Linked DNA regions of Sus scrofa. The protein of the gene in region 3 purifies or fractionates together with the protein of the main gene of each other region. This does not show direct contact. Links are inferred from orthologs where the notes say so. Each region holds a gene or a part of one and is shown on either strand. Other genes may lie near its edges.

Region 1 (3,500 bases), on a different chromosome or scaffold from region 3:
GGGAGCAGGGCGGGCTGGGAAGGAGCGAATGAGATGGTACGAATGGGTCCATGGTTTCCCTCTAAGAAGTGATGGCAGCTAGAAAAGCAAGATCTGAGCAGCTCACTCAGAGCCGGAGGAGTTAACACAGAATGAAATGCCACGCATAGTCAAATAATTATCTCACAAGAGAAAATTATAGGTGAGAAAAGTCAACCCTGAAAAGTGAACAGAGCAGCAGGCTCTCAAGAAGTCCAGTGAAGAGGCACATTGAAGCCGCCTGTTAAAAGGGGGAGGAAGGTGAAGGACGCAAGTCGGAAGGAGGCGAGCACGCTGGTGACTTTGCTGCAGATCAAGGGGGTGAGAAATGAGAAGCCAGGTGTCCTGCCGGGTGCCGAGTGACAGAGGGCGAATGCATGTAAGACTCTCAAGAGGGAAGAGATCTTGCAAAGGAAAGCAGCGTGGCATCAAAGGAGGCCAAGCAGAGCCATCAGTGGGGACGCGGGGAGGGCACCGGGGAATCAGGATGCGCATGGAGGACCCCCAGCAACCTTGGGGACCCAGGAGGAACTCTGGAATAAATCGCCCCTGACCGTCCCGTGAAAGGTCCAGGTCTCAGACTTGGAACCGTGACATAAACCTTGAGTTTCAAAGGTTTGCCCATTTATGGGGCTAACTTCACCCTAACAAAGGAAAGCCAAGGAGACGGACCCATAGGTAAAAGACAGGCTTCAAGGAACCAATGATTATTGCAAAAGGACTTGAAAGAGGGGCCCTGGGAAGACGGGTCCACTGAAGTCCTAATGGGCACCACGGGGTGGAGGGTGGACTATGTCACTTGGAAACGGGTTTCAGGTGGCAGATACGGCAGATGACGTTTCTCATAAATGCAAAAACCCACCCAACTGTCACCCCCCTCAAAAAAAAAAAAAAAAACTGCAGGATTCTAAGCATGGAAACTCAACTCAAAGTGGTTCTGTTCGGCAGGTGAACCTGTGAGTCTGGGCCTGATCGCACCTCTTACCTTCTAGATTTCCAAGTAAGTTCAAGCTTGAAAGTGACAGCTTTTCCACACAGGGTGTGTTTCAGTGGCAGAGAGTCAGTTTTATGTCCAGTGCTCAGAAGCCCTCCTCCAGCTTCTGTTCCCTTCTGGAGCGGCTTTTGTAGATGGAGGGATTAGCCTGGAAGGGATGAGACTGGCCTTCGTGGGTTTGGAAGATCCATCTCACGGACCCATTGCTCTGCCAGCGACCCAGAGCAAGTTCCCGTGAGAGTCAAGCACATTTCTCCTGATAATTCCTGGAAGTTTTCGGTTTCTAGACTGGTGTGGGAGAGTCTCAAGTCTAATTGGGTTGAAAGTGGCTTTTTTTCTTCTACTCTGACCTCAACAGGAGACCCAGCTGTGGGCAAAACCGCCCTGGCACAGATCTTCCGCAGCGACGGAGCCCAATTCCAGAAGAACTACACCCTGGTGAGTGGTGGTGGGGTGTAGGCCTGGGGGAGGCTGGAAGACAGGTGAGCAGATAACCCTTAGGGAGTGACTTGCTACATTTCCTTAAGAAGCCCTCAGGGGTCTGGCTGCATGGCCACAGCCACAGGCTGGGGGTGGTGGTGAATGGAGCATACCAGCTGGGGGTGGGCTGGCCACTGCAGACAGCTCGCTTGAGGGTCTGGGGTGGGGATGGGGGGTCAGATGAGGCTAGGTCATCTCTGATTTTTTGCACCAGCAGTGAGTCCAGAACACAGACACTTGAGCCAGGGATACGCCTCCCAGGGTTCGGGGTTCGTCCTGTCTCTCAATGTGCCCCGCAGGGGCCCCTGACGTGCGTGTTCTCCTTCTTCCTCTGCAGACAACAGGGGTGGATCTGGTGGTGAAGACAGTGCCAGTCCCGGACACAGCAGACAGTGTGGTGAGTGGTGCCCTCCCCCCAAGGGAGCTCAGTGCTGCCCCCATGAGGCCACGGGCTCTGTGGTCCTTGTCTTCCTCCCCAGGAGAGAGGCGGTGCCAGGACCCAGCCTAGACCAGTCTGCATTTGGGAACAGGAGGTAGGCAGGGACCGGGAAGCTTTCTAGGGAAGGGCCGAAGAGGAAGTGAGGAAGACTGGGCCCTGGACCTTGCCCTTCCAGAACTTACCAAATACCAAGGTTCTTATTTCCCAAGTCCCCTTCTAGGGGAAGGCTCCATTCTCAAAAGAGAATTGTAAGCTGTTACATTTGCACGTGCTTTCAGGGAGACAAGCTTTAAGAATGTCGAGATTCAGGAGTTCCCGCTGTGGCTCAGTGATTTATGAACCCAACTAGTATCCATGAGGATGCAGGTTCAATCCCTGGCCTTGCTCAGTGGGTTAAGGGTCCCGTGTTGCTGTGTCTGTGGTATAGGTCGCAGATGCAGCTCAGATCTGGCGTTGCTATGGCTGTGGCTTAGGCTGGCAGCTGTAGCTCCGATTTGACCCCTAGCCTGGAAACTTCCATATGCTGCAGGTGCAGCCCTAAAAAGCAAAAAAAAAAAAAAAAAAAAAAAAAAGAAAGAAAGAAAAAAAAAAGAATCGCAAGATTCTTAAAGACGTCCATGAGCAAAAAACAATTTCTGAGTACCCCGGGTCTGGTGAGAAGTGATGAGGCGAATGCACAGGTAACCAATATGCATGTCAGAGGGTGGCACTGACATCCACACAGCCTGTACTGGCGTCGGAGAGACACACATTTCCTGGAGAAACTTCAGCGGGGAAATGCGGGGGGACTTCCCCGAAGGGCAGCACTGGGGAGGGGCTCTCACCTGGGCGGGCAAAGGCTGGGACTCAGGCGGGAAGGGCCCCCCTGCACCCTCCATCAGAAGCACACCTCGGCCGTCCAGAACGATGCCAGGCTGTCCTACTTTAAATGCTGTCCCCAGGCCTCCTTGGTGACCTCCTTTAACAAGGATTGTTTTAAGATTTGAAAATCAATTTGGTTAACAAAGTGCAGGATGACCTTCTGGAAACCGGAGCACTTGTCAGCCTGTTTAGCATTCTGTTCTGCCAGGTGGGGAGTCAGCTTGTTCCTGGTATTTTTGCACTCGGGGTTAGGAGAGGTAAGACGGCGGCCGGAAAGAGCCAGTTGGTGTGGGAAATGGCTGTACTTGAACTTGTGCCTTTCCCCATCATCTTCCTCATGCCTGGGGCCAGAGATGCACGCACGTCCATGTGCGCATGCGTGTATTGCCATGCAGGTGAGCAGAGAGACCTTCCGGGGACTTGCAGCCTGGGCTTTCCCTACGAGTAGACTTTCTTGGGACCGGCCTTTCTGATTCCAGGAACTCTTCATTCTTGACTCGGCCGGCAAGGAGCTGTTTTCGGAAATGCTGGATAAATTGGCAAGTAGCATTCAGTCTTTTTCCCAACCACCACCTCCCTCCCAAGCTTTGCCCCTTACCATGCTCTTGTAGAAATTTCACTGCCCTACAGGCCACGTGTGTCACCTTGGCAGGTGGGCACGGCTCAAGCACGTCATTCGTGATTGACCCCTCCCCCCAGCTCTGAGGC
Region 2 (3,946 bases), on a different chromosome or scaffold from region 3:
GTGAGTTAAGAACCCAACATAGTGACCATGAGGATGCAGGTTCCTTACCTGGTGTCTCTCAGTGGGTTAAGAGTCAGTGTTGCAGCAAGCTGAGGCATAGGTTACAGGTGTGGCTCAGATCCAGTATTGTGGCTGTGGCATTGGCCCCAGCTGCAACTAATTATGTTTGATCCTTAGCCTGGTGACTTCTTAGGCCAGAGTCTACGGTGGTAAAAAGAAAAAAAAAAAAATAGTCCAATATGTATGTATGTTATGATTAGAACTCCAATCACATTTAAGCTATTATAGTAAGACTGGAAGAAAATAAACTGCAAGTTACTTCTTTACTAGAGAGGTGAGATTTAAGATGAAGTAGTTACAATATATACATATATATATATATATATATTTTTTTTTTTTCTTTTCTAGGACCGCACCCTGGCACATGGAGGTTCCCAGGCTAGGGTCTAATCAGAGCTGTAGCCGCTGGCCTACACCAGAGCCACAGCAACGTGGGATCCAAGCGCATCTGCAACCTACACCACAGCTCAGGGCAACATTGGATCCTTAACCCACTGAGCGACGCCAGGGATGGAACCTGAAACCTCGTGGTTCCTAGTCGGATTTGTTTCCGCTGAGCCACAATGGGAACTCCCACAATATATTTTTAAAAAATAATTCTTCTAAGACCACTTTGCATTTAATTTAGCCTTTCTCACAAACCTAGATCAAAAGAAGCCTGAAAGGAAGCCTAAAGACATAAAGCTTTCAATGAAATTAGGGACTGTGCGGTACCAGAATCTCATCCATACTTAATGTTGTATCAGTATGATGTGCAGTCCTAACGGGAAGAAAAACTACCACCAATTAGAAGTAGAAAGACTGTACAATGCTGCCTACCACGGAATAACTTCCAAGTAATTCTTACTAAAAACTCTGGCGTATTACAAGTGAGGCTATACAGCGATATAGTCAAACTCGCTAGGAATGAGTTCAAGTCAGGCTCACAATCAGAAAGCTTACTCTGATTATAAAGAAAACCAAGATTTTCAAATAAAAAATTTCCTTCCTAGCCAATTCGCAGTTTTCCCTTTATTCTGCAAGAGTGCTGAACTATATGGGAAACGTTAGTCCTAAAATCTCGCGAGAGCATTTCAGTCTCGCTTGCTTCGCTGAGTTGGAGGACTGGCCAGTCTGGAAGAGTATCCGTTGCCAGGATACGCGGCGGCCGGCGGCAGGCAGCTTGTAGTGAGGCCTTGAGAGCAGAGGAAAGCTGTTCACGGGTGAGAGGAACATCTCGAGTGAGCGAAGAGGTTCGCGGCCCGACTGGTGGGCTCCGCGGTGGTGGAGGCATCGGAAAGAACTTCGAGTGCCCCAGGGCAGTGCGACCCCCTTACTTCTGCACCCTCAGCGGTGCGATTCCCCGCCTTCCGCGCCCTTCAACGGGGCGACCCCCTTCCTTCCGCGCCTCTCAGCCTCGGCGGAGGTGAGAAATCCCGATTCCAGCTCTCCTCCTTGCTTCCTTTACGGGTTATCTTTGAAGATGCTGATACTCTCCAAACAAAATACATTTGGCTCTTAGCTGTTCTCCTCGGACCTATCTCCGGGCCAAGGCAGTCCCATTTCTAGTATGGCAGAGCGTGAGGAGACCTCTTCAGCAGTCTCCTGAGGAGGGGTCTGCCAAGGGGGTGACCAGAGGGAGGGATTCCGGCGCCTCGAAGAGAAAATTCACTGTGAGCTGAGGGATTTTACTGAGAGTAAATAGATTTCTGTCTGTTGGTCATGGTGGAAGGGACTTTGCAACTTTCCGCTTCATATATGTTAAAATGGCCAGTTGGGAGGATCATGATCATAAAAGTAATTAGGAGCCAGATATTTTGTATGACGTACCTGGAGTCGTCAAAATGACCGTGCAAGATAGAGCTCACTGTCACGCTTTATAAATGAGGAAACACTTCCAGAGGGGAGAATATGGCTGGTAACTGTCCTAGCTACATTAGTATCCCTAATCTTTCTGGAACCTCTCTGGTTGTGTGAATAATCCCAGAGATTGTGTGAATTTTTGAATGACTAACCTTGGAGTTAGTGGAATATTTGTTACTAGAGACGACGTAGTATCCTTAACCCACTAGGCCACCAGGGAACTCCTCATCAGCCTATTGTTAAAACTCTGAGTATAGATGAGGTGGCACAATGAGAAATCAAAGAGGAAAAAGAAAAATAGACTGTGGATGGTATCTTGAGAAATACTGCTAACAAGGGCATGTAGAATAAAATGAAGGAAAGTGAAAAAGGAGAAACAAAAGAGGAGAGTGTCCTGGAAATGATTTAATGTAGGACTGGACACCAGTAACAGAGGTGGCATTTACATCCCTAGCTGCATTGACAGGGAACATTTAAATGGCATAGTAGGAATCCAGGAGACAGTGGAAATGGAAAAGGTAGAGAATGACAGCTATAAGCTAATTTTTAGAATTTGGCTGCCTAGAAAAAGATATATGGAACAGAACTAAAAGTGGTTTCAGGATCTAGAAATTCGTTTTTAAGGTTAGGAAATAATGGAGTTTGATAGCCAATTGAAAGAAGGGGTAGGTTTAAAGACATGTATGAGCTGGATAATGCCCCAAAGGAGACTGGGGCAGGAGTGGGAGAGAAGAAGTTGGGCAAGGAGAGGAAAGCTAACCTCTCAAAGGTGTTGGAGTGAAGAAAAGAAATCATAATAGAGACTTATCTTGAATGAGAGAAGGAATGGCTGTTGAGATTGGAGGGCAAGGTGGATATAGGTAAGTTTATGTACTCCAGATGTGGATTTCACATCTTAATTTTTTCAGGAATGAGTCATCTGCTGAGAGTGGTAGGAACAGAGGTTAAGTAGAAAAGTGATTAAGGACCATAATCATCAAGAACAGAGTAGCTAATCAAAGGTAAATAAAATAATTTCTGAGATGAGAGTCCAGCAAAATTTGGTGACTATGACTTTGCAGTTCTCTAGTCTGTACAGTTGTGGAATTTCCATTAACAGTGTTAGGCTGTCCAGGTTGAATGTAGAGAACAGTTTGTGATTTTGCCATAAGGCTTGAAGAAGAGTTCGAGGATGGTAATTAGGTGATGGTGTTCAAAAGACAGTTTAGTGTTGAGAAGAAATGAAGTCCTTGAAACTGATCTTGACAAAATTTTTTTTTTTGCTTTTTTAGGGCCACATCTGAGACATATGGACGTTCCCAGGCTAGGGTTCTAATTGGAGCTGCAGCTGCCAGCCTACACACAGCCACAGCAACACAAGATCCCAGTCACGTCTTCAGCCTACACCACAGGTCACAACAATGCTGGATCTTTAACCCACTGAGCAAGGCCAGGGATCCAACTTGCATCCTCATGGATACTAGTCTGGTTTGTTACCACTGAGCCACAAAGGGAACTCCCATTAATGGTTTTTGATGGAGATTGCAATGGATTTTTCAGTGTTCATCTTACTTGAATTTCCAGCAGAAAATGGCTTGGCTGACCATTCCTGCCTTCTCTTGGCATCCGTGACAAACACTCCTGGTTTCTCTGTTTGCTTTTGAAATCTTCATTTTCAGTCTCATACTAGTTTCTCTATTTTGCAATCTGTATGTCTTGGCATTCCTTGGTCCAGAGATCTTTTTTTTTTTTTCTTTTTCTTTTTCTTTTTTTTCTTTTTATAGCTGTACCCATGGCGTATGGAAGTTCCCAGGCTAGGGGTCGAATCAGAGCTACAGCTGCTGGCCTGTGCCCCAGCCACAGCAACTCGGGGTCTGAGCCACGTCATACCTTTTATATTATAGACCAGTATATGCATATGTGTAAACTTATATAAATATAACTGAAATGAAAATTAAATGAAATATTTACTCTATGTGCCATGAACTCTCATATTTTCTATTTTATATCATATTTAAAACATATTTGTTATAGCCTGCTAAATTGTTTTCATAAGCCACTACTA
Region 3 (3,500 bases):
TCTTTGAGAACCAGCAACAGTAAGAAGTAGTGCCAGAAACAAGGATAAGCTAGCCTCCCAATAAAAACCTGATTACATTATAGAGAATATACAAAATAAAATATTGGTGTATGACAGGGTCTCATCAAGCATACAGACAATAATATGCAAAAAGAACAGAAAAGGAGTTTTACTTTTTTTTGGTAAGACCCTTCTAGGAAGTATACAAGGAATACACTGAATTTGTGAGGGAAAAAAGCATAGAAACATTTGCTACAGTGCCAAATAAATATGGGGTTTTTTAATTTCTTTTTTTTTGGGGGGGGAGCTTTTAATTTCTAATACAAGGTCATTTTAAATAAATTTTTGACTAATACAAGGTCATTTTAAATAAATTTTAAATAATAGAAGCTCTGTATTACTCATCTCCCACATCTCTATATACCTAAAAATTAATGTAACAGGATTAGTAGAACACATTGATCTGAAAATAATTCCTCCCCCCAAAATATAAAATTGAAATCCTAAAAGGTCTTAAATAGCCTGTGGTAAGTGAAAAGTTATTGTTTTTTTCCAAAAGTAAAAGAGAGGATTTGGTTTTGGTGGAGTTAGGAGTTGAGGAAGGATAGGATCTACATTCTGATGCTGCAGTCAACCAACCACTCCTGATTAAGGAGGATAATGAGTCCGTGAGAAACTGCATATATAACCAGATTACTTTATTTCTGAGACATGAAAAACATTTCTCTATTCATTAGTCCCTTATTTTCTCAAATCAATGAATAATTTTATTTCTCTTAAGTAAGCTGAATAAAGAATTGACCCTAAAGCTGTATTTCCCTTTTGCGAGAGCTGAAATACTTAGGAGAAAGAAGAGTTTATGAATACTGGACACAAAGACCAAATGATCTGGAGAAGAATTCTGAAAAAGTAATCAAATATGACTTTAGGTCAGCATGCTTTACTGCAAAAATCTAAAATCAAAATGATATTCACATATTCTTAAAAAAAATACTAAAAAATCCCCCACAAAACTCTGACATTTTGGAATGTTGCTTGTAACACAGATTGTATAGTTAATTTAACACAGTATATCTCCATAAGATCAAGGTAATGAACAGCATGGGACTAAGAGTCCAACTTCCTTTTTTTTTTTTTTTTTTTTTTCTTTTTTGGTCGCCCCATGGCATATGGAGTTCCCAGGCCAGGGTTCAGATCTGAGCTACAGCTGCAACTTATGATGCAACTGTAGCAACGCTGGATCCTTTAACCCACTGTGCTAGGCTGGGGATTGCACCTGTGTCCTGAGCTGCAGTGATGCCCCCATTCAGTTGCACCACAGCAGGAACTCTGAGAATCCAACTGTGAACTAGTTAAATCTTCTCCAAATCAGGAGAACATTGATTCTTTAAGAATCGAGGATTTTTTTTCTTTCATGTTTTGGCATATGGAAAAATCCAGGCTAGAGGTTGAATTGGAGCTGCAGTTGCAGGTCTACACCACAGCCACAGCAACACCAGATCCCAGCTGCATCTGCAACCTAAGCCGTAGCTTGTGGCAATGCTGGACCCTTAACTCATTGAGCTAGACCAGGGATTGAACCTGCATTCTCACAGAGACACCGTCAGGTCCTTAACCCACTGAGCCACAACAGGAACTCCAAGAATTTAAGATTTTGATTACTGCAATACTGGTTTGTAAACTGTACAGATTAGCAGTTACATTTATATTCTTTCTTTATTCAGTTACTTCTATTATGTGGAATCAATGACCATTCTTAAAAAAACACTCTCGTGATCCTATTCGGTTTTAAATAAGATGTTTAATTTCAAGAGTTTACTTACCCTGAAAGTAAACAAGGTAAACTTACTTCCTTTTGGGACTAAGATGTTCTTAAAAGTTCCCAATTATACAATTATTTTAACATGTCATTCTAACTAGAGTCACAATAATAATGCATTTTAATTTTATGAAGAGAATTTGTTCCAACAAAACTAAAGAATCAGAAATTACATTTTCACAAAAATTAGTTTTGCAAATTATGACTTCCAGCAGAGATCAAATCAGTAAAGAAATTCTTATTTATAGGTACTTACATATAAGAGATATATAAGCAAAGAATTTACTCCCAATGTAGTCAAAATATCTGTATTCCAAGTACATGGTAAGCAGGCTGAGGGTCTGCCCACTTACTCTAGACACTGTTCCACAGCTGTTCACAGTCTAATAAGAACTCCGCTGTCCTTATCCTACTTTAGGACTGTCCTACGAGTCTTGGCGACCTTATACCTTCTCTAGGATACAATTCTACAGGCCCAAATCCAGATAATCTATGAATTAGCTTCCAAGGCATTGAAAACAGCAATCTTTGTAGGGCTTCTTCTACTTTGGAGGCAGATGCACAACCACATTTGCAGAGTGACAAGCTGCCCTAGAATCTTTTCCATAATTCTGGGGCTTGTCTCCAGCCTCCGAGGATGAAAATCCTTTAGCTTTTTTACTTAGATGTCTCTCGAGCCCACTTTGTAGAGAGTATCATAGTACTAATGAGAGTAGCATTGTCTAGTCACCCGTTAGCTTGTCCTGAAGTTCTTACTCATAAGTTACAGGTGAAAAGGAAGTGGGAACTTGGTTAAATGGGCCAGTTCCCCCATCCTAACCCCCAAATCTTTATTACATAGGATTTTTTGATAACTTTCTTAATATTTAACTTATAACCATGTGTACTGAATAGACTATGTAAGGCAACGTCCAGGATGTCTTCTCTTTTGCCATCTAGCAGAGTTCTAAACCATGTCCTGACTCAACTCAGTTAATATACAGTCACAGATACTCAGTTTCATCCACTATTCACCTAAACAAAATATGATGCCAGCGAAATTTATAAAAATGCATTGAGAAAATATGCCTTAATCTCAGGGAAACATTATGTATTCCAAATCATTTTAAAGATCTATCCCTTGCTTTGTGGACCATATTACATTATTTAGTTATTCAACAACAATTCATTAAATCTCTATTAAAACAAGACACTAGAAATGGAATTCCTTCTTAAATAAGTAGTTTGTACAATTAGGAATACCCTTGACCTTGAAAATGCTTTATATATATCTCTTTGAACAAAATGTGTTCTCTCTTCCATACCTTGTTGTCAGTCCTGATCGTGACTTTCAGTTGTGGTAGCACACGTTCCACTTCTAGACTCCATTCCGCAGCATCTGTTGTGGATTCTAAAATATCTTCTTGTTTGGCAGACTCGTTCATATCCTAAGAAAGGAAAGATATCACAGGATTCAGAGTTTATAAAAAGAAATGGTAAAATTTTGAGGCATTTTAGCAGCACTGCACAATTTATATCAAGCAATGTAGTGTTAAAATTATAGTGGCAGAAGAAATCCTTTTCTGTCCTCCTATCCACGGTGAAAGAAAATAATGCATTAACCTGGTAGAATAGCAAAATAAGTATATTTTTTAAAAGAAGCAAATATATGATTTAATTATTTTTACAAAGACCAATGGTT
Region 4 (3,500 bases), on a different chromosome or scaffold from region 3:
GAGCGCTGGGTTGCAGGTTCCATCTGCAGCCCAGCACAGTGGGGTAAGGATTTGGCATTGCTGCAGCTGTGGCATAGGTCAAAACTGTGGCTCAGATCTGATCCCTGGCCCTGGAACTCCATATGCCATGGGCCAGCCAGATAAAGAGACTTCTTCCAAAGCAATGGCAAGCCCATACCCCTTCTGCCTCTGGATCAGAACCATCAGATTTAGCTCATGAAAAATTCTGCCTTTCGAGTGCTTTTTTTTTTTTTTTTTTTTGGCTATATCCATGGCATGCGGAACTTCTGGGCCAGGATCAAACCCACGCCACAACAGCAGTCTGAGCAACAGCAGTGACAAGACTGGGTCCTTAACCTGGTAGGCCAACAGAAAATTCCATCAAATCTTTTTAGTAGAAAAACTTCTGTTTTCCTCTAGTCCAAAAGATTATAAATTATTCTCTATATGTTTATGTTTTTATTTAAAGATTTTTTTTTTTTGCCACCCTCATGACATACGGAAGTTCCTGGGCCAGGGAGCAGACCCGAGCCACAGCAGTGATAATGCCAGATCCTTAACCTACTAGGTCACCAGGGAACTCCTGTTTATATTTTTAAAAGGACAGAGGTTTCCCTTTAAGATCAATAATGAGAGAACTTCCTGTCACGGCTCAGCGAAAACGAATCTGACTAGCATCCACTAGGACACAGGTTCGATCCCTGGCCTTGCTCAAGCCACGCGTTGGCCATGAGCTTTGGTGTAGGTCGCAGATGCAGCTCAGATCCTGGGTTGCTGTGGCTGTGGCGTAGGCCAGTGGCTACAGCTCCAGTTGGACCCCTGTCCTGGGAACCTCCATATGCTGTGGGTGCAGCCGTAAAAAGACAAAAAAGGTCAATAATAAGAGAAAAAAGTAATTCGCAAGCCAATTGAAAGAAACAAGTTTTTATGTTATGATTTTATAAAATTTTTATATTTAAAAACTTACCTTTAATTTGTAGTGACATATGATTCCTATTTTAGAAGAATGATTAATTTTTGGAATCCAGACAGAATATTTCACCCAACTAAGATAATGCATATATTTAATTTTTTTATTTTCAGTCATGTGTATAATGTACTATTATTTTTTAACTACTTATTGAAATCTGCCGTATTGAGTGAGAAAAGACTGCAGCGGTTCACTTAAGGTAATAGACTTAAAATTTTGTTAAAAAGTGCATTTCTGTATATATATCTATGCATAGAAGAGTCTGGATGTATATCAGATATTAAATGCTAATACCTAGTGATAGGATTATGAGTGATTTTTATTTTATTCTTCATACTTTCAGGATTACTTCTAGTTTTTACAAAGAGCATACCTTAATATTTGATTAAAAAAAATCATCTTCATTTTGTAGGGAGGGAAGAGAAAAGAGCAAATTATCTTTAAACAGTTAAAAGAGTGAAAAATCTTCTCTAATTAAAGGCTTTCAAAGAAAACCAGGATGAAATCTGAATCTCTGAATACCAATTTCCTTTTTTTTTTTTTTTTGTCTTTTGTCTTTATAGGGCTGCACTGGCGGCATATGGAGGTTCCCAGGCTAGGGGTCGAATTGGAGCTGTAGCCGCTGGCCTACGCCACAGCCACAGCCATGCCAGATCCAAACTACGTCTTCAACCTACACCACAGCTCACAGCAACACCTGATCCTTAACCCACTGAGCAAGGCCAGGGATTGAACCCTCAACCTCATGGTTCGTAGTTGGATTTGTTTTTGCTGCACTGCAGCGGAGCTCCTGAGTACCATTTTCAAGCTGCTGTTTATTTATCTCTTGATTAACCTTTCCATTTTATTTCGTTTTGTTCCAGGCCAGCCTTTATGGATGAATATGAAAAGATCGAGGAAGAACTGCAAAAGCAGTATGCCATTTATCTCGAGAAGTTCCGCAATCTGGCTTGTCTGGAGCAGCAACTGGAGGATCATCACAGGATGGAGCAAGAGAGGTTTGAGGTGAGCGCTCGGCCTTGCGTGCAGGCGGCCCCTTCCGAGGTGTCCTTTTGTACGTGCTGACGCCTCGGTGTGGAAGTGTCGCTGGGAAAGGACAGGTGTTGCTTGTTCTCCCTGATCAGGCGAAAGATGGCTCATGTGATTCCTTTTGCTTTTCTGGTTGTGTGGTCTGGACTCCATGGTTGTCAAATCTTTGAGAGTAGGTTGTCACCCGAGTTTGGTCAGTTAGGACAGTAAGACAGGCTGGCCTGTCACCTGTGCAGTCACACACAACTCCAGGCTTAGAAGGGCCTGGGCTTGCTTTCATGATGTTCCTGTCACCTGTCTGGAAATTCTTTTTTTCATTTTTTGTCTTTTCAGGGCCGCACCCATGACACATGGAGGTTCCCAGGCTAGGGGTCGAATCGGAGCTGTAGCTGCTGGCCTACACCACAGCCACAGCCACGCAGGATCCAGGCCGCAGCTGGGACCTACACCATAGCTCACAGCAGCACTGCTGGATCCTTTACCCACTGAGCGAGGCCAGGGATCGAACCTGCGTCCTCATGGATATAAACTGGGTTTGTTAACCACTGAGCCATGACGGGAACGCCTTGAAATTCTTAGTAATATTTAAGCGCATTTTGTTTTGTACTGAGTCCCACAAGTTATGTAACATGGCTGAGGACAGATCTAAAAACTTGCTTCAGGAAGGTCCCTTGTGGAGCAGTTGGTTAAGGATCTGGGTGTTGTCACTGCCATGGCTTGGGTTGTTGCTATGGCTTGGGCTCATTCCCTGGCCTGGAAACGTCCACATGCCACAGGCATGGCCAAAAAAATAAATAAAAATAAAAATAATACATCAGAAATGATGACAGTCGGAGTTCCCATTGGGGTACAGCAGATACAAATCTGACTAGTATCTGTGAGGATGTGGGTTGGATCCCTGGCCTTGCTCAGTGGGTCAGGGATCCAGTGTGGACATGAGCTGTGGTTGTAGGTCACAGATGTGGCTTGGATCCTGCGTTGCTGTGGCTGTGGTGTAGGCTGGCACACCTATACCACACCTGGCACACCTACACCACACCTGGCACACCTACACCTGTGGACTATGCCTTGGCTGTGGCAACGTCAGATCCGGGGATTGACCTGTGTCCTTACAGCTCCGATTTGACGCATAGCCTGGGAACCTCCATATGTCAAGGGTGCGGCCCTAAAGAGACAAGACAAAAAAATTTAAAAAGCCAGTTTCCTCTCCCATTCTCTCTCTCTTTCTTTTATTTTTTTTCCTCTTTATGGCAGCACCTGCGGCATATGGAAGTTCCCAGGCTAGGCGGTCAGGTCAGAGCTGCAGCTGCTGGTCTACACCACAGCCACAGCAATGCCCATTCTGAGCTGCATCCACGACACTGCAGCTTGCAGCAACGCCAGATCCTTAACCCAGTGAGCATGCTAGGGATTGAACCTGCATCCTCATGGATACTAGTCGGATTCTTCACCTGCTGAGCCACAACAGGAATTCCTCTTTCTTCTTTTTTTTGGCTGCCCC
Region 5 (3,500 bases), on a different chromosome or scaffold from region 3:
TTCCGCTGTGCCATGACAGGAACTCCACCAATTTCTTATTAAATGTATTCTGGGGCACTTTTTAAAAAACTTGGGGTCATTATAAATAAGACCATAGCTTCTTAGAAAAGTATATATACTTCTGTGGAGAAGGTGGAGTCTAAAGGAACAAGACAAGAGGTATGTATGTTCACCAAAAGGTATGTGTTAGAATGTTCACAGGCATGTTACAGTGCTATTACAGGGTAATTTTTAACAACCCCAAACTGGAAAGTACCCAAATGACTATCACAGAATGGATTAATTGTCATATATTCAAACAATGAAATAGCATACAGTGATGAGAATAAATGTACAATATGAATGAGTCTCCATATGGAGGAATAATATAGATAAGCAAATAAGACACAAAGGAATATGATGTTATATTTAGATAAAATACAAAACAGGCAAACCTAATCTGTGCTATTAGAAGTCAGGAGAATGGTTACACTGGGAGGTGGAAGCAGCAGGGGGCCTTCCAGGATGCCAGCAACGTTCTGGTTTTTTTTTTTAAATCTGTTCAGTTGGTGAAAATTAACTCTTATGTGTATGTTTCTGATTCCGTATTATACTTCGATTAAGAAGATAATGATAATAGTAATATGAAAAGAGAGGAACCACTGGGCCCTAAAATGAATGCCACATTTTCTTAGCTCCTACTACCTTCCACTCACCTTCCCCAAAAGTTCTTCAAACTCTGGAGACCATTCCTGCATCAGTGTGTCAATATCTGGCATAGGCCTAGAAGGAAAGAGGTAAGTATGAGCAAAAAACATGGACTGAGGATAGCAGAACCTCTGCATCAAGATATTCCAAGATGAAGGGAGGTCCTCAATCTGGCGCATTAGGATTCCAGGGGCATGTAGACTGGATGTGCCAAAGTTACCGAGGGCTTGGGTTTTGGAGAAGCTGGCTAAGTAATAATACCAGGTAAATGACAATCTTTACATCTGCAATCTTAGCCAGCAGTGGCTAGGATCCACAGGTCCTCAGGTTGACTAAATATGTCCCAAATATGTCCCAGACTTAAGGGCCCCTTCTCAGAAGCAATGGTTTCATAGGTGGTGAAGGTTACCATGGATTACTATGGGGAAGAATGTGCTATTTCGTACCTGGTGTAGTGCACAGTGGCAGGGGCCTTGGAACGGTGTAACTCAGAAATGCTCTCGATCCATGTGTCAATGGCTTTGGGATTCTTTTCTGCATCTTCCAGACTCTTGACTTTCATATGTTGCTGGAAAAGTAAAGGGAAAGCCTGGCTGATGGCGCTGAAGGGGCTCTCTTGTTTTTATAGAGTGGCTCATCATATGCTGCTATTTCATATTCAGGATAGCTGATGAAAAGGGAAGCCTGCCAGCCGCCAAATGAAGCTTATAGGAAAGGCTGAGAGTCTTCTGGAGCCAGAGGAAGGGAGTAGGTCAACAGGATAGGAGTGACTACAGTGCGATACCATTTCACACCTACTAGGGTTGCTAGAATGAAAAAGATGGACAATACCAAGTGCTGGTGAAGAGGTGCAGAAATTGAAACTCAAACTCATTGCTGGTGGGATTGTAAAATGATTTAGCCACTTGGGAAAACAGTTTGGAAGTTTCTCATAATATTACAGTTACCATATGGCCCAGCCATCCCAATCCTACCTATATTCCCCAGAGAAATAACAATGTATGTCCATGCAAAAACCTGTACATGTTCATATTAAGTATAGTTAATAGAAGTAGAAACATCTGATAAATGGGTAGACAAAATGTGGTATGTCCATAAAATGGAATTATTCAGCCGTAGAAAAGGAATGAAGTAGTGACCAGGGTCTAGCAGCAGGGGGATTAAGGAGTGACTACTAACAGGTATGGGGTTTCTTTTTGGAATGATGGAAATATTCCTAAATTAGACAGTGGTGGTGGCTGTACAACCCTGTGAATATGCTAAAAATCACTGATTTGTGTAATTTACAAGGATGAATTTCAGGGTAGGTAAATTATATCTCAATAAACTATTATTTAAAAAATAGGGCTGGCTGAAGCCATAGCCATCCCTTTCGACAGGCAGTAAGTCAATGGTACAAATACCAGAAAGTCCTCCAGTCTTGGTCCCCTTGAGCTGGGGCCTATACCAGGCTAGTATCTTACTGTGACGTTGTGCTGTTTGGAATTCTCTGTTAACCAAAGGGAGAGCACCGTAGGGTCTGACTGCTTTGTAGAAGGCTCGTCTAATACCAACAGGCCGAGGTTGTCAGGCTTTCCATCAGGACGTGGAACCTGGTTAGGAGAAAAGTAAGTAAGCAGAGGGGAAAAAAAGAGGGAGGGATATAAAAAGACACGCTTGGAGTTGCCGTCGTGGCTCAGTGGATAACGAATCCGACTAGGAACCATGAGGTTGTGGGTTCGATCCCTGGCCTCACTCAGTGGGTTAAGGACCTGGCCTTACTGTGAGCTGAGGTGTAGGTCACAGACACAGCTCAGATCTGGCGTTGCTGTGGCTCTGGCGTAAGCTGGCGGCTACAGCTCCAATTAGACCCCTAACTTGGGAACCTCCATATGCCGAGAGTGCAGCCCTGGAAAAAGACAAAAAAGACCAAAAAAATAATAATAAAATTAAAAAATAAAAAGGCACACTTATTGTTTCCAATAAGCCAAAGAGGAAGAACTCTTCCAGTTCATCATGATTATTAGAATTAAAAAGGATGCCTGGGAGTTCCTGTTGTGGCTCAGATACTAAGAACTGGACATAGTATCTGTGAGGATGCAGGTTTGATCCCTGGCCTCTCTCAGTGGGTTAAGGATCTGGCGTTGATCCCAAGTTGCTGTGGCTGTGATGTAGGCCAGCAGCTGCTGCTCTGATTCAACCTCTAACCCGGGAAGTTCCATATGCTGCAGGTCCAGCCCTAAAAAGGAGGAAAAAAAAAAAAAGAAAAAAAAGGCATGCCTGTATATCAAGCTGTACTAAAATACTACCTGGAAAAAAAACCATGGGAATTCCCTTGTGGCACAGTGGGTTAAAGATCTGGCTTGTTATTGCAATGGCTATCACTGCTATGGTGCTGGTTCCATCCCTGGCCTGGAACTTCCACATGCCCTGGGCATGGCCCAAAAAAGAAAAAGAAAAAAATACATTATCTATAGGGCTTCAAATATAAAACTGAAGTCATGGATAATTAGGAGCCATATAGATGACAAATTTTAACACATATGCTAATCAATTACTACCTAAAAACAACGAGTATAATTGGGAGTAGAAAGCAAAGTTAAGCAAAGTTAAGGACTCCAGTGAGCGAGTTCCCGTCGTGGCGCAGGGGAAACAAATCTGACTAGGAACCATGAGGTTGTGGGTTCGATTCCTGGCCTTACGCAGTGGGTTAAGGATCCGGCGTTGTCATGAGCTTGTGATGTAGGTTGCAGACCCGGCTCAGATCTGGTGTAGGCTGGCAGCTATAGCTCCAATTAGACCCTTAGCCTGCGAACCTCCATTTGCTGCAGGTG
Region 6 (4,045 bases), about 51 Mb from region 3:
GGCCCAGCCTCCACCCCACCCAACCCGGGGAAAATTCCGTCCATCTATTTCCGAAAGCCCCGTTTAAAAACCCTGCTCAACGCCAGCGGGTCCTCGAGAAAGAAGGCACAAAACCCCTCGAGGTGCCAAGAAGGCGGGATCCGTTTTCCTAAGTCCAAAGCAAGTGGGAAAACTTAGACGTGCTTGGGGAATCAAGCTTAGTTCTTTTTATTTTCTAAAGTTCCCTTCCCATCCCCCCGACGAAGGTAAGGGTATAAGAATATTCTAACGTAATTTCTAAACGAAGTAAACTGGCGTTTACCGACATGCCCACGCTCCCGGGGCTAGGAATACAAGCGCACACACTTTGAGAGCGAAGAGTTCGTATTAACTTTAGGCTTGAGGGGCTCTCAACTTCCGAGAGCAGCGAAGAACCGGCTGCTCGCCGCCCACTATCCTCTCCTCGCCATTTAGCTCTAGGAGCCCTTGACCGCCCGCGGGCTTTGAGGTGTCCTCACGACTGCCCGATAGGGACCAGTGGATGGGGTCGACCCCCGCGATTTTCAAATCGGAGGCCGGCAGTGCCGGCTCCGGTTCAAATCACCTTGGGGCAGCAGGGGTTTGTACCTCCGGTGTCCGCGGCAGACTCCCGCTAGGCAATAAACCAGGAAAGGTCACCAGTAAGGGCTCAGATCGGGTAATCAGTCCCTTGGGAGAAGAGAGAGAGAGGCAGGGGGCCGGGGCAAGGGGAAACCCTACAGTCCGATCGGGACCAAGTTTTCTGAGAAGAAGTCCACGAAGCTTAAGCCCCGATCCCTCGCGTCCCCTGAGCGACGCCCAAGTAGCTCAAAGAAGTGGCGCCCAGAAGAAGCGCGCGGGAGCCCCGAATGCTGAGGAGAGGCTGAGGGGGGAGGGGTGACAGCGAGAGAAACCTCCCGGCGGCAGCCTCAGCCTAGACTTCGGCCGCTCCAGCTCAAGGCCTTTTCTTCCCAGGTGCCGGCAGACGGGGCAGGAAGTAAGAGTGTGACAACTCTACCAGGAAAAGAGGTACTTTACCTGCGGGACAGTCCACTCAGACCAAGGCTGGAAACGGTTGTATAACCCCCCCGCGTCTACTGGTGTTTCGGCTCCGGGTCCTTCACTCGAAAATGGCGCCTAAAATACAAACTCGAACGGAAATTCGTTACAAATGCGCGCAATGCTTTCTGGGACCCACTAATTTGAAAAAACTGCGGCGATTATGGTCGCCATCTTCATGTCGTTTACACGCATGCGCGAAATGCTGGCGGGACCCTGGCGGCAGAGGACATTTCTAAGTGAAAAAGAAAAGCGAAGCAATGTTTTCCTTGGGCCTATGGACAACAACATTCATATAAAATATATTTTTAAAAAGTTTTGGGAGTTTTGAATAAGAGGAAGAAAACAGAATGGGACCCCGCCCACAGCTAAACAACGGGCACAGAAGCCCAATAACGCTCCTTAACAAGAGGGCGGGCTCGCTAGGGGCGGGGTCTCGGGCCCGCTCGGGTGACGCGGCGGGAAGTATCGCGGGAAGAGGGAGTTCGCTCTGCTCTCAGAAGTCGCTATGGTGACGAAGAGATCCGAGGCTTCTTGGTAACTGGTAGCACCCCTGTGAGAGCGATCGCCACTGCTTTCCTGGAACTTACTTAAGGTAAATCTCTATCTCTGGACGAAGTGAGGAAAGAGTTTAGAGGTTGTGGCCATTACTGGACCCACTTTTCCTGCTTTTAGGGTGTTTGCAGCTTGGAGCATCAGTTATTTTCCATCTCCCTGGAGCACTGGGGCTCTGGACGTAGCTCTTGGGATGCAGAGGAAGCCCTAAGTCTTTGGAGAGAGTAGGGGGACAACAAGGAGAAGACCTCGATTGGTGAATGATCTTGTAGTAAATAGCAAAATAAGGATTTCGAGTTATTAGTATTAGGTCGTTAGCGTCACTAGCGAAAGAGGGTTTCTGGCTTTTAAAATTATTTGGCTGAAAGACTCCGTAATAGAAGAAACGATTTGCTCGTATCATATGTTTATGAAAAAATTATCGATCAGCAAATATTAAGTAGCTTTGTACACGTTGCACTGTGTCAGGCATAAGAAAGATTATCAAGGTAGTATTTCTGTTCCCAGAGAATTTAGTTTTGTTAGTGAGTTTTTAACCTGGAGTTTATGGATCTGGTGGTAGGCGATTGTTCATACCACCTCTCCTCCACTCTCCATCTCCAACCCCTTGCCCCTTTAGCTGTGTACAGAATTATGTCTGCTTGTGAATTTTTCTGAGGAGTTTCCCAGAACTTTTATCAAATTCTCAAACACGATCCTAATCCCCCAAATGTTAACCACTGGTTGATTTGACTACCTCCAATAAGCATTTGTTCAGCAGCTCTAAAGTACTTGACATGGAGAACTGGGAACTCTTTTATTCCCCCTTTTAGCTTTTTAATACTTGGTGCCTGACATACTAAACCCCCAATAAATCCTCTTTATGCATGAATTTAAATTGTCATTCTAAGTAAGTATGTATGACCCTTGCCCTGAGGAGCATATTCAGGTTCAGTGATTCCCAAGAAGACATGTAGAGGCCACTGCCCACAAGTGTAAGAATTTGTTGAAGAGGGGAGACTGGTGTGGTTTGAGTAAGTATTGACTCCTTATTGTAATATACCTTTATATTTGAAGTTGAAAAAAATTGTTTTCGAAGGACAAACTACAGACAGTAAACTCAATGAAAAAAAATTTTGACCCGTAGGTGTGCGAGGAAAATGTAGTAATTCTCTTTGAAAGCATCTGGAATCTTTTGGATTTTTGAAGTCTGTAAAACATAACTAACCCTGAGTTGGAGAGATATTAACCAAGAGAAATGCAAAGACTAGACCAAATTGGGTAGTGTATTTGGGAGACAGCACAGTGGAGTAGAAAGATGTAAGAGATAACAGAATCCCAAATCTCATGTTTTTTTGTCTACATACTTAGACAATTTATCAATTTATCAGTCCCTCTGAGAGTATTTATTATAAAATCAGCATATAATACCTACCTCATAGAATTGTTTATGATTGTCTATCCCACACACTATATTCATTTGATATTGCTGTGTTTTACCATTGATTTTATCAGGGTATGTGCTAAGGATGAATAATGGGTATGTCAAGTTAGAAGAAGGTTAGCTTACGAAGGGTCTTCAAGCCAGATCAAGGATGTTACATATGATACATTTTTAGAATATTAGAAAAAATTTGAGCTTAGGAATGACTTAATAAAAAAAATTAACTATTTATGTGAAATGTGTTAAGAAACTGAGATCAGGCATGGCTGAGATTATTACCGTACATGGAATTGTACTTACTTCCGTGTGGGAAGTTAAAAGTGCCTATGCAGTGGAATGGAAAAAAATCTGAATATATTTGCAGGGGAAAATCTGTAGCTTTTGTAGCTTTTAATGGTTAAGAGTCTGAGCCAGACTAAAAGTCAGTCAGATTCTATCTATTCTTTATGAATCCCTGGATTAGTGATGAGGGGATAAGAAGAAAGATGTCACAAATAAATCCTAGTCTTGCTGCCTTTGTTATTGCTATAAGTAATGATAGGTCTTAGTGACTAATGAGTAAGAAATGTAATTTCAATAAACCAATAAAGTGACCAATAGCTTTAGATTTAGTTGAATCTAACCGTGCTCCACTCAGAATGAATATTTTTAAACAAGTTTAGACTAGTGTCTGTAATGTAGGAAAGACATTCATAGCAAAGTTATAGTGGAGCTTAAATATGGAGTGACAGTAGGACACTCAGAATAAGTGAAGAAGTGATTTGAGAAGAGAATAGAGTCAATAAGAAATAAAGACTTGATTGATCTCTGCCAGTACTTTGGATAAAAAGAAGCTGGTCCAATTGGGAGGGACTAGGTTACAGTCTTGGAAGGTATAACCAAGTCTCATCTTTCTGGTCCCAAATCATCTGCTAAAAACCATTATCTATAATTTAAGGCAAAGAAGAGAATCCTTACTTTTTTGTGTTCAAAAAATTGTACCCTATAGGGAGAAATAAGAATGAGTTTAAA
Region 7 (4,214 bases), on a different chromosome or scaffold from region 3:
GTGATCAGTGGACCTGGCCGCAGGCAGCTCTGTCAACTGCTAACTCTCTTTTTGAGAAAACGCTTGAATTGGCTCGGGGATCTGTCTGTAAGCCCGTGTAACTAAAAGTTCAATTATAGTGAAGCTCTGCTATCTGTTACTAGTCTGCTTATTCTTAAAAGTCCCTTAAATTTAGCGGCATGACAGAAGTAGGCGGTCCCTGAGAACTTTTTGGTGCCTGTTCTGACGAGATAACGCGTCAGCCCTTGGCGCAGGTGGGGGGGCCTTTTTTTTTAGGGCCACACCCACAGCGTATGGAAGTTCCCAGGCTAGGGGTCGAATCGGAGCTGAAGCTGCCAGCCGACGCCACAGCACGGCAGCACGGAATTCAAGCTGTGCCTGCGACCTACATGACAGCTTGCAGCCACTCTGGATCCTTCACCCACCGAGCAAGGCCGGCGATCAAACTTGAATCCTCATGGATACTAGTTGGGTTCATTACCGCTGAGCCCCAGTGGGAACTCCTGTTGGCACTTCTTACATTTTGATTTAAGGTATTAGAAAGTATCTCCCCAGACATTTGCTTCCTTACAGAACCTGATTTTGCTTTATGTAGGATGGTTGAAAACTGTCACTGTTTTTGGTTATATTTTATTTTGTATTTATGTGCTTTAAAAACCTCAGGTGGGTTTTCCCGCTGTGGCCCAGCGGGTTAAGAACTCAGCTGTAGCAGCTGGAGGCTCAGGTTGCTGCGAGGTGGGGGTTTGATCCATGGCCTGGCGAAGTGGGTTAAAGGATCTGGTATTGCCACACGTGTGGCTCAGATTCATTCCCCAGCTCGGGAATTTCCATAGGCCATTGGGTGTGACCATAAAAAAAAATTTTTTTTTAATGGAAATAGGAGTTCCCATTGTGGCTGAGTGGGATAAGAACCTGACACAGCCTCCGTGAGGATGTGGGTTAGAGCCTGGCCTCGTTCATTGGGTTAGGGATCCAGTGTTACCGTGAGCTGTGGTCTAGGTCACGAATGCGGCTGTGGTGCCGGCCAGCAGCTGCAGCTCCGATTTGACTCCTGGCCCAGGAACCTCCATATGCTGCAGGTGCGGCTGTAAAAAGAAAAAGAAGAATACATATGAAAACCTAACGGGAGAGGTTATTTTTGACTTCAGCTTTCTCGGGTACATTCTAGACGTTTCCTAGCATTTAATCCAGGAACTCAAAGGCCTCCTGACTTGTCTTGAACAAGCGAGGCAGAGGGGCCGCCGCAGGAAGCCCTTGAAGCTGGAGCGCCTCTCCGGGAGGTGAGGGCCCGTGGGCTGTCGGCTCGGGGTGTTGCGGGCCCCGGGCTCAGCTCCCTGCCGTCCTCAGGCCTCTGCAGCATATGCGCCTTCAGGAATTCGAGCCCATTCCTTTAAGAAACATAAGCCTCCTTTGTGTAAAGTCCATGTTCGACTTTGCTTTTGGTTGTGGTGTGTGCATGCACGTAAGAAAAAGATTCCTCCCAGGCGTGCAGTTCTCCTCCCTTTATGTCGTTCTCCAAGAAGGGTTTGGTTTTTACCCTTTTTCTTGGGGTGCCGTGTTGTCGCTGTCTTTCACTGTTTTGGTCAGGGAGCAAAAACCCAAAGCGAGCAAGACGCTCACGAGCCCCTGGCTTTGTCTTCCCCAGCATCACGGACTGCGCCGTGGAGCCCTTGAAGGCGGAGCTGGCCGAGCTGGAGCAGCTGGTCAGAGACCAGCAGGACAAGATCCGCGCCGTGAAGGCCAGCATCCTGAGGAACGAAGAGAAAATCCGGAAAATGGTGCACAGCATCAACTTGAGTTCCCGACGGTGAAGGCACACGACGCCGAGGACTGAACGTCGCTGTCCTCGGTGTGCGAGTAAAGCGGAGAAGATAGGACGGCGTTTCCCCTGAGGTTTCGGGTTGGAGGCAGGGAGCGGGGTTCGCTGTTAGCCCGCTGACTTTCCGCGCCTGCAGCCCAGCTTATTCCGTGTCTGAGAAGACCGTGCCTGCCCACCTTCCTCTGGCTAGCGTGCTTGCCAGTTATAAAGAGCTCTGCAAAGCGCCCGTGCGAGAAGTGTCTTTACGGGCCTGTCCTGGTATTTCTGCGGCAGGCTGCTCTGTTCGGTTCTGTGCCGGGTCCTCTGGCGGGAAGCCCAGGGCGTAGGAGACCTTGACCTTGGACTCAGCCCAGGGAGGGCTCCTCTGCTGAGCGAAGGAGGCTGCACCTCCTGACGAGCACTTGCCAGGGAGGCCCGAAGAGGAACCCGTTGCATTTTCAGCTCATTTCCACTTGGAAAGGCTTCGGTTCCGCTCACGTCCTTAGAAGGTGCCTGTGGCCTTCTGTTTTCAGCCTCTTGGGAGCTGCATGCGCTGCTTCGTGTAATTTTCCTCTGGGTCTCTGCTCGCTCTGGCTTGTATTTCCAGCCCTGGCAGTTCACACACTTGGCAGGGAGCCCTCGGAGTGGCTTTCACGGCTGTCGTCTGCACGGGAGCTCGTCACAGGCCGTAGCCTCACTCTCCCCAGCATTTACCCTGGCCTCCCCCACGCACCTCCCAGCATAGCTGGAGGGAGTCCTCGGCCCTGCAGATGGGGGGCTGCTCGCCACCTGTTCCTTCCCACAGGCGCACACCTGTGCCCCGAGAGGCCGGGAGCTTGGGGGAAACTGCAAAAGGAAGATTGTAGCGGGGGCGGGTTTACTGAAGGTGTTGATGTTACCATTTTTTAAATTGTTTTTAAAAGCAGAAGGTTTTTTTTTAAAGCATCGTTTACGTGTAGTTTTCACCACATGTGCTGTTGTAAATGCTAAGGCCTGAGGTTTGCGGGTGAAGACTCCCCTGCCTGGAGACAGGGGTCCTCAGGTCTGGGACCTGACCCTTTGCCTCTAGATACCGCGTGTACCGCGCAAGCCAAGGAATTGCCTGAGGAAGCTTTGTTTCTTTAAAAGGTCAGCACAAAGGGCACAGGTAAGGTTTTCTTAGGGTAATTTCCAAGCTGGACCTGTTACAGGGAGGTCGTGTGATTTTCTGAGCTGAGTTCAAGATCAGCTTATTAAGATCTGGCATCTTGAAACACCGGTCCTTTCCCCGCTCTGCACGGCGCCTGGGATTCTGTTGGATCAGATGGCCCGACACCTGTCGTTGGGGGAGGGGAGGCGCGTCCGCTCCCGGCCTTCCCTCGCGTGTCCGTCCTCGGTCCCTGCGACGCGGCCGCAACCCCACGTGGGCCCTGTCTTGCCCCAGGTGAAGCTGTCTGCCTTTTCTCAGTCTGTACAGAAGAGTAGAGTTTTTGTGGCAAAAGAGTGCAGACCTTGTATGCGAGTAAAATTTTGTATGAAGTAGTTGATCAAATTGTATCATAAAATTTATTTTTCTTTTATACATAAATCATTACAAATAATCACCTATTTTTCTATAAGTGCATGGGTTGCAAGTTCGGTTCACACCTGGAAAAAGCATTTATAAGCGTTTGGATTGTTTAAATGTTAAAGTGTGTGCGGTTTGTTTTTCACTGAAGCAAGTTCAGGGAACTGTATCTTTTCATTCATATTGTGACAGCACTTTTCTGTATAAATGGAAGTTCCTTAGGGCAGATAAGCATTTATCAGAAACTTTAAGATCGCTCATGAAGTTTTAGAAAGATTCTGCATGAAGGTATTACTGTATCTTTTCAAAAATGAATTAAATTCCGATGTTATTTATTGTTTTGATAAAATACACCAATGGGATTATCACATGTTTTCCTCTGGTCTGTAAGTTTTCAGAAAGTACTGGATTCATACATCAGAAATTTTGACTTAAAGGGTGAGCTGATACTAATTTATATTTAAAGGAAATGTGTCAACTTTTGAAAAAAGTAGTTTAAAACTAAAATTCAAGCTTTCTGCTTTAGTATTCGTACAGACTTTTCTTTCCAGTAAGCAACTTAAAAAGAGGAGTGGCTGGAACCTACAAGGCGGGACGCTGTTCTTTCGTGACGCTAAGTGCAGGGTGGCGGGGGGTTGTCGGGAATCTGTCGAGTGACAAGCGCCCCGAAGGGTTCCCGGGCCTCTCTCCCTGCTGACGACGTGTACCTTCTGTTGACCCGCTCAGCGTCATGGCTCAGGGGCGAGAGGAGTGGGCAGCTTGTGTCACGGTCGCAGGCTCAGGACGACCGGTTTGCTGGAGCTCCCACAGGCGTCGGGTTCAGGACGAGGGCGCACAGAGCGCAGCGTGGAGGAGGGGTTTCTGCACAGA

Evidence for each region.
Region 1: the proteins of IFT57 (region 3) and IFT27 purify together in Homo sapiens (co-immunoprecipitation; 3 studies listed by BioGRID and IntAct, with this or other methods). This does not show direct contact. The link is inferred for Sus scrofa from reciprocal best matches to the Homo sapiens genes IFT57 and IFT27.
Region 2: the proteins of IFT57 (region 3) and IFT74 purify together in Homo sapiens (affinity purification with mass spectrometry; 3 studies listed by BioGRID and IntAct, counting the BioPlex papers as one, with this or other methods). This does not show direct contact. The link is inferred for Sus scrofa from reciprocal best matches to the Homo sapiens genes IFT57 and IFT74.
Region 4: the proteins of IFT57 (region 3) and CLUAP1 purify together in Homo sapiens (affinity purification with mass spectrometry; 4 studies listed by BioGRID and IntAct, counting the BioPlex papers as one, with this or other methods). This does not show direct contact. The link is inferred for Sus scrofa from reciprocal best matches to the Homo sapiens genes IFT57 and CLUAP1.
Region 5: the proteins of IFT57 (region 3) and IFT46 purify together in Homo sapiens (affinity purification with mass spectrometry; 3 studies listed by BioGRID and IntAct, counting the BioPlex papers as one, with this or other methods). This does not show direct contact. The link is inferred for Sus scrofa from reciprocal best matches to the Homo sapiens genes IFT57 and IFT46.
Region 6: the proteins of IFT57 (region 3) and IFT80 purify together in Homo sapiens (affinity purification with mass spectrometry; 3 studies listed by BioGRID and IntAct, counting the BioPlex papers as one, with this or other methods). This does not show direct contact. The link is inferred for Sus scrofa from reciprocal best matches to the Homo sapiens genes IFT57 and IFT80.
Region 7: the proteins of IFT57 (region 3) and TRAF3IP1 purify together in Homo sapiens (affinity purification with mass spectrometry; 3 studies listed by BioGRID and IntAct, counting the BioPlex papers as one, with this or other methods). This does not show direct contact. The link is inferred for Sus scrofa from reciprocal best matches to the Homo sapiens genes IFT57 and TRAF3IP1.

The regions. Positions count from the first base shown.
Region 1 is NC_010447.5:11,000,682-11,004,181, forward strand, and holds part of IFT27 (intraflagellar transport protein 27 homolog), read left to right. Parts: intron 1-1,370; coding exon 1,371-1,450; intron 1,451-1,829; coding exon 1,830-1,889; intron 1,890-3,271; coding exon 3,272-3,331; intron 3,332-3,500. UniProt on the Homo sapiens protein: Small GTPase-like component of the intraflagellar transport (IFT) complex B that promotes the exit of the BBSome complex from cilia via its interaction with ARL6. Not involved in entry of the BBSome complex into cilium. Prevents aggregation of GTP-free ARL6.
Region 2 is NC_010443.5:196,171,080-196,175,025, reverse strand, and holds the start of IFT74 (intraflagellar transport protein 74 homolog), read left to right. Parts: upstream 1-1,146; 5' UTR 1,147-1,262; exon of another isoform or gene 1,263-1,465; intron 1,466-3,946. UniProt on the Homo sapiens protein: Component of the intraflagellar transport (IFT) complex B: together with IFT81, forms a tubulin-binding module that specifically mediates transport of tubulin within the cilium. Binds beta-tubulin via its basic region. Required for ciliogenesis.
Region 3 is NC_010455.5:151,329,552-151,333,051, reverse strand, and holds part of IFT57 (intraflagellar transport protein 57 homolog), read right to left. Parts: intron 3,247-3,500; coding exon 3,124-3,246; intron 1-3,123. UniProt on the Homo sapiens protein: Required for the formation of cilia. Plays an indirect role in sonic hedgehog signaling, cilia being required for all activity of the hedgehog pathway.
Region 4 is NC_010445.4:38,732,886-38,736,385, reverse strand, and holds part of CLUAP1 (clusterin-associated protein 1), read left to right. Parts: intron 1-1,833; coding exon 1,834-1,975; intron 1,976-3,500. UniProt on the Homo sapiens protein: Required for cilia biogenesis. Appears to function within the multiple intraflagellar transport complex B (IFT-B). Key regulator of hedgehog signaling.
Region 5 is NC_010451.4:45,848,419-45,851,918, forward strand, and holds part of IFT46 (intraflagellar transport protein 46 homolog), read right to left. Parts: intron 2,280-3,500; coding exon 2,151-2,279; intron 1,256-2,150; coding exon 1,134-1,255; intron 763-1,133; coding exon 696-762; intron 1-695. UniProt on the Homo sapiens protein: Forms part of a complex involved in intraflagellar transport (IFT), the bi-directional movement of particles required for the assembly, maintenance and functioning of primary cilia. May play a role in chondrocyte maturation and skeletogenesis.
Region 6 is NC_010455.5:100,075,349-100,079,393, reverse strand, and holds the start of IFT80 (intraflagellar transport protein 80 homolog), read left to right. Parts: upstream 1-1,245; 5' UTR 1,246-1,651; intron 1,652-4,045.
Region 7 is NC_010457.5:137,908,612-137,912,825, forward strand, and holds the end of TRAF3IP1 (TRAF3-interacting protein 1), read left to right. Parts: intron 1-1,645; coding exon 1,646-1,811; 3' UTR 1,812-3,714; downstream 3,715-4,214.